Arabidopsis thaliana: one gene and its partner. The main gene of each other region encodes a partner of the protein of the gene in region 2 in a complex. Each region holds a gene or a part of one and is shown on either strand. Other genes may lie near its edges.

Evidence for each region. The genes of interacting proteins can lie anywhere in the genome.
Region 1: DET1 (region 2) and FUS9 share a complex: the UniProt entries of both Arabidopsis thaliana proteins name them as parts of the CDD complex.

Annotation. Positions count from the first base shown.
Region 1 is NC_003074.8:4,420,951-4,427,632, reverse strand, and holds FUS9 (Ubiquitin-conjugating enzyme family protein), read left to right. Parts: upstream 1-2,738; 5' UTR 2,739-2,835; coding exon 2,836-3,064; intron 3,065-3,164; coding exon 3,165-3,238; intron 3,239-3,595; coding exon 3,596-3,743; coding exon of another isoform or gene 3,744-3,805; exon of another isoform or gene 3,806-3,966; coding exon 3,967-4,064; 3' UTR 4,065-4,396; downstream 4,397-6,682. Other genes in the region: AT3G13560 (O-Glycosyl hydrolases family 17 protein), read left to right, coding at 349-415, 510-1,760, 1,865-1,892, 1,978-2,149; MYB5 (myb domain protein 5), read right to left, coding at 6,190-6,643. UniProt on the Arabidopsis thaliana protein: Component of light signal transduction machinery. Involved in repression of photomorphogenesis in darkness by participating in the CDD complex, a complex probably required to regulate the activity of ubiquitin conjugating enzymes (E2s).
Region 2 is NC_003075.7:6,343,392-6,351,267, reverse strand, and holds DET1 (light-mediated development protein 1 / deetiolated1 (DET1)), read right to left. Parts: upstream 4,858-7,876; 5' UTR 4,726-4,857; coding exon 4,654-4,725; intron 4,573-4,653; coding exon 3,910-4,572; intron 3,836-3,909; coding exon 3,644-3,835; intron 3,346-3,643; coding exon 3,277-3,345; intron 3,182-3,276; coding exon 3,125-3,181; intron 3,019-3,124; coding exon 2,938-3,018; intron 2,856-2,937; coding exon 2,694-2,855; intron 2,622-2,693; coding exon 2,526-2,621; intron 2,454-2,525; coding exon 2,354-2,453; intron 2,262-2,353; coding exon 2,122-2,261; 3' UTR 1,954-2,121; downstream 1-1,953. Other genes in the region: AT4G10190 (F-box and associated interaction domains-containing protein), read right to left, coding at 1-340; AT4G10170 (SNARE-like superfamily protein), read right to left, coding at 5,917-6,681. UniProt on the Arabidopsis thaliana protein: Component of light signal transduction machinery. Involved in repression of photomorphogenesis in darkness by participating in the CDD complex, a complex probably required to regulate the activity of ubiquitin conjugating enzymes (E2s).

The DNA of each region.
Region 1 (6,682 bases), on a different chromosome or scaffold from region 2:
TTCTGTTCTCAGAACGTTGCTTAGTTTCCAGACCCCATTAGTTTACTTCTGTCGGAAATCCTCTGTTTTCTTAATAGCCATGAGATAGTTATCTAAAATTGCTTTCTTGAATTCACCAAAAAAAAAAGTTGCTTACTTATTTTTAGGGTTCTTACCATATTTGACCAATTATAACTCTCCTGAAAAGATTAAAAAAAAACAACAGTTTTTTCTGACTTCAGAGTGAGAAATCTACAATCCATTGTTATATTAGGTTTCAAATTTCTGTTAAAATCATTAGCATATGGCTCAATTTTGAACCTTTTCAGAGTTTTTGTAGGTTTAAGGTTTTCAAGCACTCTGTTTCCAATGCTGCTTCCGAGATGGTTTGCAGAAGCGTTGTTGCTCCTACTTTCAATTCTTGCCTGTTCAAACGGTAAATTTCACATGTTATATCTATCTCTAAGTTTACTTTTTTATTACTTGGTGAAGTTCATAGACTCTCAATGTTAATCTGATTCTTTATACAGCTGCATTTATCGGTGTAAACATTGGCACTGATCTCACCAACATGCCACCGCCTTCAGACATTGTAACACTTCTCAAATCACAACAAATCACACACGTCCGTCTCTATGATGCTAATAGCCATATGCTCAAAGCATTTGCCAACACTAGCATCGAAGTTATGGTCGGTGTAACCAATGAAGAAATCCTCAAAATCGGACGGTTTCCTTCAGCTGCAGCTGCTTGGGTTAACAAAAACGTCGCTGCTTATATTCCTTCAACTAATATAACCGCCATTGCTGTTGGTAGTGAGGTTCTCACCACGATTCCTCACGTGGCGCCGATTCTCGCCTCTGCTCTTAACAACATTCACAAGGCTCTTGTGGCTTCCAATCTCAACTTTAAGGTCAAAGTCTCCAGCCCTATGTCTATGGATATAATGCCTAAACCGTTTCCTCCATCTACATCTACCTTTAGCCCGTCGTGGAACACCACGGTTTACCAGCTTCTTCAGTTTTTGAAGAACACTGGTTCCTTTTTCATGTTAAACGCGTATCCTTACTACGGTTACACAACCGCTAATGGGATTTTCCCGCTTGATTACGCTTTGTTCAAGCAGCTTTCTCCGGTGAAGCAGATTGTTGATCCCAACACGCTTTTACATTACAACAGCATGTTTGATGCTATGGTTGATGCTGCTTACTACTCCATGGAAGCTTTGAATTTCTCCAAGATTCCTGTTGTAGTCACGGAAACAGGCTGGCCTTCGTCTGGTGGAAGCGATGAAGCGGCTGCAACAGTCGCTAATGCGGAGACATTCAACACTAACTTGATCAAGAGAGTGCTGAACAACTCAGGTCCTCCTAGTCAACCAGACATACCGATAAACACTTACATCTACGAGCTGTACAATGAAGACAAGCGGTCAGGACCAGTCTCTGAAAGAAACTGGGGGATTTTGTTTCCAAATGGGACCTCGGTTTACCCTCTGAGTTTGAGTGGTGGCTCTAGCTCCGCAGCTCTAAACGGTTCATCGATGTTCTGCGTGGCTAAAGCAGATGCTGATGATGATAAGTTGGTTGACGGTTTGAATTGGGCGTGTGGTCAAGGCCGAGCTAACTGCGCTGCCATTCAACCGGGCCAACCTTGCTACCTCCCTAACGATGTTAAGAGCCATGCTTCTTTTGCTTTCAATGACTATTACCAGAAGATGAAAAGTGCAGGTGGAACTTGTGACTTTGATGGTACGGCTATCACTACGACTAGAGATCCTAGTAAGTTTTTCTCATTTCCTCTGATCTATGTGTTGCAATAATTCTATGTTTTCAAGTTGTTTCCTCAGAGTAAATCTCAAATTCGATGGCTTGTGTGTTTGCAGGCTATAGAACATGTGCATATACGGGAAGGTAACGATACTAAATTTATGTCTTGTTAAGTTTTGAAAATGAAATCTGCTCCTAACTCTTTGAAATCATTTTCCATTTATCTCAGCTTAAACGCAAACGCTACTAATGGAAACTTTCCTCCGGATGCGTTAGGACCCGCAAGTCCATTGGGAGGAAACGCAAACGCACGTATCATCTTTAGCTACCATCTTCCCATATTGGCACCGTTAGCTCTCACTCTACTACAACTGTTGCTTCAGCATGACCGCCTTTTGTAGAACGTTTGCCAAAAAGCGGTTTTGTAGTAACCGGGGAAGTCTACCTGTGGCTTGGATTGGATTTCTTACGGTTACCGGTAGTTACTGTGTACTTTGTTTTTAGTGTAAGTGTAACTAGAGACTAAAGAGGGCTCACAAGTTCCCATTCTTTTTTTTGTCTTCATCTTTGAACTAAAATATTCGAATTAGAGTGATTTAAATTTCATATTCAAATGAATCAGTGCATTGTAGGAGAGTTTACGTAAATCATGTTATTCATAAAAATTGACAGAGTAAATTTGATTATGTTTAAACAAAAATTAAATTGATTTTGGATAATTTCAATTTTCTTTCCAAAATGTGTGCCTTTTTCAAGAACTTTGAATAATCATTTATCAAATTATTAAGGATTCACGTGGTTATAACATGATCACATTACACAAAAGGACAAGAATATTCGATAATTCAACTTAAATAAATTTGGTTGTCAAAATGATTACAAATTTATTGATAGTGATTAGTGAGAGAAAATAAAAATAAAAAATACATGTTACAAAATTAATCTCCACGTCAGCGATTACTTTATTTGTTTAATTGATCGGACAAAAACGCGGCGTTTCGAAATCTTTTCCCGATGGAGTGCGAGCGAAACGATCAAGTGGTGGATTGGATAAGCAGAGAGTATCGGAAGACGACGACGACGGGAGATGATGACACCTGGCGGAAGCGGGAGGTTGAGACCGTTACCGACGGCGATGTACGCCGGATATTCAGGAACGGCGTCGTCTTGGGTAGCGAAGACTTCAGTTTCTGCGTCAGGGAAGAGGATACAGAGGGAGATGGCTGAGCTTAACATTGATCCACCTCCTGATTGCTCAGCTGGTCCAAAAGGAGATAATCTCTACCATTGGATCGCCACCATCATTGGTCCTTCGGGTTTAATTCTGATACTCTCTTTGAATATTTGTAGATAATCCGATTGAAAATTTGTTAGGTTTTCAAGTCTTTGAATTTGGTGTTTATGGAACTTTTGCAGGAACTCCCTATGAAGGAGGGATCTTTTTCCTGGATATAATTTTCCCATCTGATTATCCATTCAAGCCACCTAAGGTATGATCATGGATTCTTTGGTTAACACATTTTGGGAGCTTTACTGATTTAGCTGGTAATGATTTAAGGTTTAGAAGTTTTGATTTCTAATGATGATCTCTTTAGGAAGAACTATTTAGTGAATATCAATGAGTCTTCAACTGCATCACATTGAAACAGAGATCATCTAGTGTCTCAGACTCTCAGTGTCTAGCATATTATGTAGTTTTATTGCTTTCAACATAGTCTTAGGATACATTTTGTAGCAAATTTCTTGAAGTTTTGGGTCTAGTGATAGTCAAGCTATAGGTACTAATCTAGAGCTTGCACTTTTATTACATCTGTCTTTTTGGTTAAGTTGGTGAGGTTGATTTGCAGTTGGTGTTCAAGACTCGGATTTACCATTGCAATGTTGATACTGCGGGAGATTTAAGTGTGAACATTCTAAGAGATAGTTGGAGTCCAGCCCTTACAATCACTAAAGTCTTACAAGCCATCAGATCTATCTTCTTAAAACCTGAACCCTGTAAGTTTCTATTCTACTCTCAGGCTTCAGATCAGACCATTTCAAGTCCTCTGATGAAATGACCAGCTCATGTCAGATCTACCTAAGAGAACGTTTTTAAAAAAAAGTTTGTGATGAGTTTTGGCCAACAAACATAATAGATGTCCGCATCTAACTACTGTATTTAACTTCCATAGTAAATCTCTATTGTTCTTATTCTTTTTGCTTCTTCTTCATCGACCAGATAGTCCAGCTTTACCGGTGATTGCACGGCTCTACTTGACAGATAGAGAAAAGCATGACGAGGTAGCCAAAGAATGGACATTGCGATTTGCCAAGTGAGATCTTCAATACGAGGAAAAGACAACTGATGTATTATAAATACACCTAGTTCTTTGGTTAGTTAATGGTCATCAATGTACATTCATAAAAGTGGAACCACAATGTTAGATGGCCAAGAAAATTGTTTGCTCAGATAATAGGCAACAATGTGAGGTAGGACCAATCCTCAACAACTCCAATTTATTGAAGGTTATACAATTTAGTGTCAAATCTTTTCGTCAAGGACTCGAAAACCAAAGATCATATATGGTCTGAATATAACTGAGGAATTGTTTCTTTTATAAGAAAACAAGAGCATTTTGTTTTGAAACAAGAATAGTAGGCCATAACTTCTAGAGAAAAGCGATTACAGATGAGATAATTAAACTGAAGAGTATTAGTTGGTACCTAACATGTTCCATAATCTTTATTGATTGATTATCTCCAAAAAGAAAGATCAAACTTTCTATTGAAGACACAAGTGAGACTTGAGAGACCAAATCTACCGGTCAATTCTTTTCGTTCTTTTAACCTAACTCTGTTTAACATAATTATCACAAATGGTCAGTACATATCTATCTACGCATGGTATATATAGAGAATATGTAGAACAGCAGTGTTAAAAAAGAGTAACATATTTTGAGTCTCTGCGACTAATATCTTCATATCGGTACGTTGTAATATTTATCCGTTAATTATACGTGTGTTAGATGTGTTAGTGTATATGCAGATGAATATGTCATTTTATGCATCACATGTATATACTCAATTTGTTTATCTTATTTTTTTATTTAATGTTCCCCTTCGTTGGCATCATATATATTTCTCTTGAAGTTTTGAGTAAAACCTCTAGAGATGTTGGAAGATATATCCAGTATATCGACTATATATAGTATCCAATCTTATGATGACTATGTATCTAACACTAAAATTTTGTTAATCAGAGTCTTAGGTTTACGAATTTTTTGGCAATAAATCATTTTCGTCTAAATTTGGTTGAGCCAGAGACTATCGGTTAGTTAATTATTTTTGCTGCTGTGATGTGAACCGAAGGGTCAAAGAGAAGGTTAGGTCGGAGCAGCATAGTCGCATGCGAAGTTCGTTTTAAGTAAAAAGTAAAAACTTATGTAAATTAAACGTCAATTATTCTAACCGCTAATGTTGGTCTATAATTCAATTTTCCTAGGCTTTAACTAAGGGTAGTTTATATGGCGTAAATGTGGGAACGTGTGAAGAGTCAATGTGAAAACGGCATGGTGTTCTTTTTGGTTTTAAGTAACGAATTCTAGAGGGAGAACGCACGGACGAGAGACTGTGATGAAGTAAGCATATATATACATAAAACTGTGTTAAACAATAAATCTGCATGCATAGGTAAAAAACTATATCTTCGACCAACATTGGTCTTACTATAAGATACGTAAATGTGAACTACGCAACAAACTTTGATTTTCGAACTTATAGTATATCCTCATCGATAAAAAGAACCTATAAGTTTCAACTTATATATACAACTCATGAATTGTGTCTGAAATACTTAAAACAAACATTTTTGAGTTTTAATTTAGTATTACATGAAAATAGAGTTTTATAACCTCAACTCGTGTGGTGACGCAAACACATAATAAACCTATAGGCAACATATATGTTTTTTTTTTCAAACAACATATATGTTATTATCGTACTTTAGTATGTAAACTGTCCGGAATATGTTTAATAGCTTATAAAGTTTAGTGTATTTTTGTTTTCAAGGATATGAAGTTTAACGTTAGCACTTAGCTAGCCTGTATTGTTTACATTAAATAAACTTCTTGAAGAAATTAAACTTAGAAACATATCTAGTACCATAATTTAAGATTGTGAACATGCTTATTAGTTATCTGTATTTGACAAAAGCTTACCACGAGTCTTATTTAACGATAGTGATGATTCATTTATTCGCAATAGATATATCCATATATATAAATAGAGGTTTGTGTACTCAGTTACACTCACAATTTATGGTTTTATAATAATCACACAAATCACCACAAAACAACTTAGTACACATATATGCCAACCTTCTAGATCGCATCTGTGACCCCTTCTTGAAGCATGGTAGATATAGAAGACATCAAGATTCGATCAACTATATATCTTCCTGTATCTAGTCATGTCCTAAGCTAGAAGACGACGCTCCAACAATCCCATCCTTACAATCATCCATCTGCAAAGGTTGAGATATTGGGATAATATTACCAAAAGGATCACCAACATCGTTGATGAGCGAATTAAGAAACGATGAGAACTTGTCGTCGTAGCAGAAACCAAAGTCTTCGTAGCCGTGTTCACCACCAAAGACATTGATACTGTTCTTGCTATCTCCATCCCCGCCATTAACAGTGGTATCATCAGTATGAGAACTAGAAATAGGCTCTAGAGGGTACTTTTGTCCACCGGAAACTTCTTCTTCTGGTTTATGGATGTTGTTTGCATCAAGAGGCTTGTGGGTTTGAGGATCAATTCCTTGCCTTAAAAGTTTCTTACGAAGATGAGTGTTCCAATAGTTCTTAATTTCATTATCAGTCCTTCCCGGTATCCTTCCCGCGATCAATGACCACCTGCATCACACATTAGAATTTCCATGAAGAACAAGAGCG
Region 2 (7,876 bases):
GCAAGAAGCCGTCGCAATGAAAGACGTTGCATATATCAACTTCTTCTAAAAAATTTGAAAGAGGATCTTTCAGGCGAAGTTGACTTATTATGTTTACCTTGTTGTTGTGAATTGTATGAAGATCGACGCTCACGAGATAAACCCTAAAGGTCATCAACATGATAAGCAGAGAGTGCCTTGGTGCATTAGTAAAGTGCTGCTCAGCAAATCTCTTATCTTCGATCAGAACGTTCCATCTTTTGGATGTAGATTGTAATCGGACCAAAGTTACGGTCGGAACCCTCGCGAGTATCTCCATTACCAAATCCTCGGGAAGATCTACTATGTTTCTCTTCGTCATAAGCTTTAAAGACAGACTAGGTTTTTATGATACCTTGAATCCAAAGAAACTAGAGTTCGGAGATGAAAGTTATGACTTATGAGATCTACAAATATATATATTTGTGAGTAAGTTACAACTGTCGGTCAAAATTACAATTTCTTTGTTTTGTTGTTAACATATATACTAAAGGTATGTTATTGGTTTATGATTTAAATAGAGTTTTAGTGACTTAAAATGTTATGTAGAATATGTTGTTATTCAATAAGATTTTTTGAAAAATTTGTTAAAGTTTTGTATTATTAGTTTAAGATTTGTGAAAAGTAATCTAAAATCTTCACAAATCTGGAGTTAATGGATTAATACTTTCATAAAGTCATTAATTTTTTTTGTTTTATTCAATTAAAACAAAAGAATCTACTATTGTAGATGAATTAAATTGTTTTGTAATTGGTTTATGACTTTCTACCATTTGTTTCACAAAATAAAGTCATGAAAATATCATTAAAATATAGAGATTGTTTGGAAACTTTATAAGATTGTAAAAAACCAATGTTCAAAAAATTGTTAGGCGTTCGATAGGGGCCTAACGCCTAGATCAATTAATCGGGGGCTAGGCAAAGCCTAGGCGTTAGCACATCATTTTACAAATTTATTAAACATTTTCATAATTTTATAACAAAACATTGGTTAAAATATATGAAATGTTGAAAATATTACCTATTTGAATTTATAATATATGTATATTCACACAAAATTTCTATGAAAACTAAATTAACTTATTCTGAAAATTTGAGAATAATTAATTGCTAACTTACAAGTTTAGTAATCAAGTACTTTTACTTTATTTTTCACTTATTCAAAACGATCATATTTACATATACTAAACTGGCCGATTTGACCGGTTAATACTGATTTTGAACGCTTAAACCGAAAACCCTATTTGATTCACCGATTTCACTAAAATCGGGCCGCCTAGGCCGATTTTTTGAACCTTGTGAAAAACTAATCAATAATATTATTGAAAACTCTCTACAAATAGTTTATAGTTTAGAATCTTTCATTTATTTACTTTATATGATATTATTAAAGTCTTCAAAATTTCTTTTTAGTTAGGAACCAATAACACCTCCTAGTTATTTCTTCCTTTTTAAGATTCAAACACTTTTTGCATGTATTATGTGTTTTGAGATACAGTAAAACCTCTATAAATTAATAAAGATGGAAGTATGATATTTTATTAATTATAGTGATTAATAATTTATCTATAATTAATATATTAATTTAAATTTAAATTATTAATTTATAGAGATATTTGTTTTAATTTTTCAAATTTTAGAAACTATGAGATGTTATAAATTTTATAGTAATATAATTGAAAATTTAATATTTAAAAAGCTCATTTGACAATAAATCACAAAAACTATAATTGAAAATGATGCATACTAAGAAATTAGAAACTTACAAAACATTATGGCTAATTTTTTTACAAAGTTATAAACGATTCTATAATTTGACAATTGAAAACCCCAACATAATTCAATCAGACTTAGAGACAAAACAATTGTTTGATAGAATAAAAGTTAGAGACAAACTCTAACAAGATTCAATACTTAAAAGACATTAAAACCATATTTTTATATAAAGCTTTCCAAAAGATTATTATATTATTATTTTATCGAAGTTTGTTAATTTTTACATCGGCCCAACTCGGAATTTATAGAGGTTTTACTGAACTTTTGTTACAAACAATAGATTACAACATGTAGGAAGACTACTAGACTGATAGAAACCAAAAAGAGTCATCGCCTAAAATGGATATTGACGACAGAAGGTGGCATGAAAAGTGTTTGTTGAATAGAGATGGCAAGTGGTAAATGAGGATGGAACAAGAATGAACATATCTTCTTGCTTCGACCATCTGCAGTTCCACACTCTGGTCCTGTTCACCATTAGACAATCCTAACGTTAAATCATGTTCCGTGCGGTTTGGGTTTTCGTCATCTTAATATCTAAACAACTAAAACAACCAACCTGGTTTTATCTTGAATTTCAGGGTTTGCGGTTGCCTTCGAGATATGAACTTGATTGGGTTGTCTGAGGATTGCCTATGCCTATCTGCTGCGGATATTAACTGTAACCATATCCGAAATTAACTTAACTCAATCCTGAAGTTGAAGAGAATAAGGGTTTATAGAATGGTTACCTTTTCATCGAACCGGAAGAGAGACTGGTCGAAATATGGGGAGGGACTTTGTGACTGACAACTGAAAGGCAAAGAGAGTAACATCTTCTTCACAAACTGTATAGAAAAATTGATTAGATTCAACTCTCTCATAAAAACCAACATATCGAAATACAGAGATGTACTTACCTGAGAAAAACTGTTTGATTTGTTCTTCGTGTATTTTAGTTGTTCAAGGGCATAGACGTTGTTAGAATGCGATGTTACAAAGTTCATGAACGGTGTACTACTTGATACTGTAAAGTGATCACTGAACTGCTCAAATAATTGGTAAAGATCTTCTGCTGAGTTCTGCATATAGTAATGTACTAAGTCAAGTTATAAGTAGATGCAAATTCCACAAAATAACTGGCCAAAATGACATCCATTTTACCTGATAGAATGCTACAATGTCAGTAGTCTCCATATTATACACCGCGAAGAAAGCTGGATGATGATCAGCACTTCTTGTTACCTGAGTAACCCATCAACAATCATAAGTCTAATCAATCAAATTGTAATTTCTGAAAATGACAGTATCAGTTCAATGTAACCATGAATTTGTATTATAGAGAGCTTACCCCACCGTCTACACTTCCAAATTTGATTAGCAGGTGTTGTCGATCCAAAAACTGAACCTGGACATCAAGAATACACAAAAGATTAGTTTTTTTCACCATCAAATCCAAACACTTGACACAGATTCCAAAAGCAGAAACACATAATTGATTACCTTCCATATAATCAAGTCGACATAATCCTGGAAATGGAAATAAAACTTCTTCTTAAGACTTTGAACTCTCTGTCAAATCAAATAGTGCCTTTCGATTAGTTCGTATCCAAGATGTAGTGTTTCAATACGACACACATTGCAAACTACAACGAAAGGTCGAAAATGCAAAGAGCATGTATATGATAAGCTGCATCAACTAAGAAGTCACTGTCAACTGCATCAATCCTAAACCTTAAACTTCTGTTATCCTACTCAACATCTAACAGAGGAAGCCAAGCAGTACACAAACATAACCCATTTAATGTACAAGATTGTGAAACTCAGAGCAATTTCATAAAGTGATAAGAGAAGTTGAAGAACAACGAACCATTACGTTATCTGATTCTTCATTCCAAATCTCCCTGAAGATAAAAGAAAGTAACCGTTGCTTAACACCACTAAGAAACGAATTCGAACCACTTGGCTGACTTAGACTATGACGCAACCCATTCTCTCCAGTATCATCTTCCTTACTCCCAGATAAACTCTGCTGTTTACTCTTATCTTGACTCATCATTGCCTAACAATCAAAAACCTCACAAAGCTCAAAACTTTATCTACTCCAGAGAAAGATACTGTAAAAACTTTGCTTACCTGAGAGCTAGAATTGAGGAAAAGCTCATCATCTTCACGACAAAAGTAACCAATAGCACGAGCATCAACAAGATGACCAGAATCTCTAATCTGAAGAAGATGAATCCTCTGATAACGCAACGACAAAATCGCTAAAAGATCATCATAAAGAAACACACCCATATTATGAGCCAGATTAACGAAATCATGAAGAAAAACCCTCTCATCAAGAACAACACCATCATCTAATCGAAGAAGTACGAAAGTAATCTTATCAATGGAAGGAACACCAGGAACAGCGTCATTAGAAGGAGATGATGAATCATGGATCTGAGCTGTTGAAGTAGCGAAAAGACCGAAACGACGAGTTTGGTGATAGAGGAAGAAGTCTTTGCAGATGAGTTCGTTAGAAGAAGCGAGATTGACTGAGTAGAGTTGAGTGAAAAAGCTGTCGAATTTCGAAGCACGGCGAGGTAGAGGAGGTAGGGTGGTTGTGGAATCATCGGTTGTGGAGTAAGTGAGCCAAGAAGGACGATAGACTATGAGTTCTTGATGGTTACGGCTGAAACTAATGAGGAAGAGTCCGTCTTCTGTGAATTTGCGGAAACAGTGATCGGGAGATTCGACATCGTAGAGTGTGTAGCTTGGGACTAGGTTTTCGTAGAAGTGTCTTGCACGATTTACCTATCATTGAAGGTAAAGAGATAAGCAAAAGAGAGATTGAGATTGAGAGATTGAGACAGAGAGAGAGATTTGGGGACTGACGGAAGCGCCGGGAGGAGGAGTTCGAATCTGACGTTCGAAGACCCGAGCGGTGACGTTACCGCTTGTGAACATTTGTTGGCCCAGAAGGGCACGAATAAAGGAAGGTTTTTGGTCTGGTTTTAGTGGTGAAAATGGAGGAGACGATGTGAGTGAGAGAGAGAGAGAGAGAGATACTGTGGCTTTGTTTTGGTTCTGTTGATTTTTCTCTTTTGGGAGGTTGGTTTCTCTCAATCTGTTAATGGGCCTGATATTGGTGTTTGAAAATGGCCCAATAGTTGCAAAATTGGGTCATTGGCACTTATCGGTACTACTTCCTCTTTGTACAATTTCTCTTGTTGTATTGCTTTGCTTAGTCGGAGCTTAAGTATGGACATTCACATTTTGGATCGGATTTTGGATCGGATTCGGTTCGGATTTTCGGATTCAGATGGGAAAGTTTATTATCCGGTCGGGTTTTATGACTATTCGGTTTGGTTTCGGTTCGGATAGTGTCGGATTCGGATCGGTTTTTGAGAAAAAAAAATATATATTGTTCCGTTTTAATAAAATTGGTTTAATTTTGCAAAAAAAATTGTATAATTGTAACAAATATAACTTAAAAATTCGGACGTATAAACCTGTAACTAATATTTTTGTTATTTAGAAATTTTTGGGTATAAACCTGTAACTAATATTTTTAGATAGATATAATTTTATTTCGGATTAGCGGATATTTATTCGGTTTTTGATTCGGAATCGGATTCGGCTGAAGTAATTTGGGTAGGTGAATTCATTATCCGTTCGGATTTTGTGACTGTTCAGTTCGGTTTCGGAACTTTTTTCGGATCGGTTCCTATCTACCTACCATTTTTTACTTCCCATTTTGTTGATCGGTAACAACAAGAACTGCAGTGGCAATACACTTGTTGGAACGAATCATACAATCAATACACTTGTTGGTAAAGCCTTATGCATCTCAAAGCCAGCTTCTTTGCTAGTGAGGGCCTTACTTAGGGAACTTGAAAGAGGATTGAGTTTGAAGTTGAAGCTCAAACAATTTAAATCATATAAAGATGGACGTTACTGTATCGTGAAGTCACAAAGAACACTGAACAGAATCTAGAATCCGACTGTACATATTTCAAAGCTGTGACTAAAGCAATACATAAGCCAAATTATAACTTAAGAATGCTTCACATTACAATCAACATATTTTTTGCCTATTGGAATGCACAAGGGAATGTAAAGAATCGACTCTGTTTATCCGATTTTCTGTCTGCACAATCACGAACGTGTACACTCGATACCCCGACATATAGCCAACCAAATACCAAACAGTGTCAAGCAAATAGCTGCATCAATAGCAAGAACAATCTGAACTAACCGCCGCCATTTCCATTCAAAGCTTTGAGTAACAGAACGTCCACTACTCGACACACACTCCTTCTCCAACGACGTTCCAGCTCCCGCTGAATCATCGGTTATGTTCCCTCTATCATTAGACTTCCTGTGTTCCTCAAGCTCAATCACATGATCTTTCCCTTTCTTCTTCTCTTGCTTACTTAACCTCCCCAACAACGGAGCTTTAGTAGAATTCGAACCTTCGCTTTGTTCACCAAGATTACTACTCTTCAATTCATTGTTACTACTACTCTCAGCAACACGTTCAAGAGAAGCTATAAGTCTAGTAACAACAGGAACAAGCTGATCTTCAACATTAATAGAACCAATCATAGCAGTAAAACTTCCTCTAGAATTCTCCCTAGCAGCTTTCTTAAATTCATCTCTCAAATGTTCAAGAAACTTAAGAACACTAGATCTCTTCAAAACCTCATCAACAATGGCGAAATAAACAAACCCATCTCCAATTAAAAACCCAAATCTTCTTTTACCAATAGTTTCAAAGTACCAAGTATGAAAAGGAGGAGACTTTTCTAAACACAGAGCAGCAAGACTCTCGTTGGTTTGGTCTCCACCGTTGTAAGAGTAAAGAATCTGATTGTCTCTTGAGACACAACAGTAATGAACTGTGTTCTTGATTAAACCCATCTTTTTTTTTGTTTTTTTAAGAAATCAAATTGAGACAGAAGAGGAAAGAAGAGAAGTCTGTGATTAGAGCAAAGAAGAAGAGAGAAATTGAGATGATGGAGTCAGAGAGAAAGTCAAAGAGAAGAAGAAAGTACCAACAAAATCCTTCGGCGATGTCTTCAAAATCGAGGATGAATTCTCTCATTCCTCTTCTTCTTCTCTCTAGGGTTCTTGGGTCATGTGTGAGCTTTTTGTTTGAGATGTTTATCTTTGTGATGAAAAAGTCAGAACTCGACGACCAAACTAGAGGACGTGGTCCACAACACTAAAAAAAATGTATTATTATTTTCTATATGTATGTAACAAATCGCAAATAAATTAGGGGAAATTGATAAAACTAGCATGATTTTTTTTGGTTAAAAGTATAAAATTAGCATGATTTCAAGTTAAAATTGGTAATGAATCAAATATTCATAAACATTTAGTAGAGATTTATACGCTCAAAATTAAGTAATTAAAGATTATAATACTATAATTAATTTAATGATAAAGACCGTAAAGACAATGACAAATTCTTGGCGAACTAAACAGAAATAGCGACGGACAACAAAAAAGATAACATTTTTGGACAAGATCTTATTCGATTAATAATAATTTAGGGGTTAACACACATGAGTAAGATCTCTTTCGCATTCGCTTGACGATTTTGATTGCGAGAGATGAAATTGAAAGAAGAAGAAATAAAAGTAGATGATAGAGATAAGATATCGTATAAAATCCCTTGAAGTTCTTTGACTTGAAGCTTCTGGTTAATTACTTTGACAAAGATTAGATAGTGAGAAGCGAAAGAGATGAACTTGATGTCCAATGCGATTGCAACTCCAACGGACAATTAAACTATTCATTTCTGCTAAATCGAGTTATTCAAGCTTAAAAGCGTTATTATAGTTAAGTATGCATAGATCATTTTTGTAATTCAATTTGGTTTTGTAGACTCTCTGTCTTCAAGAGGTGTAGTAGACGGTATAGTTCAGATGAGTATAAGAAACTGATTAGGTGATGCTAGCAGGAACTGATGTGGTTGCCGAAGTCCGGCCTGGAAAATTTTGAAGTCCTAAAGTTTTATTGTTGGTTCTTGCAGATAATTCACTTTCTTGGATCCTTTACTAAATTTACATTTAAAACTCAAGTATTTGGCCAGTTATCGGTATTACAA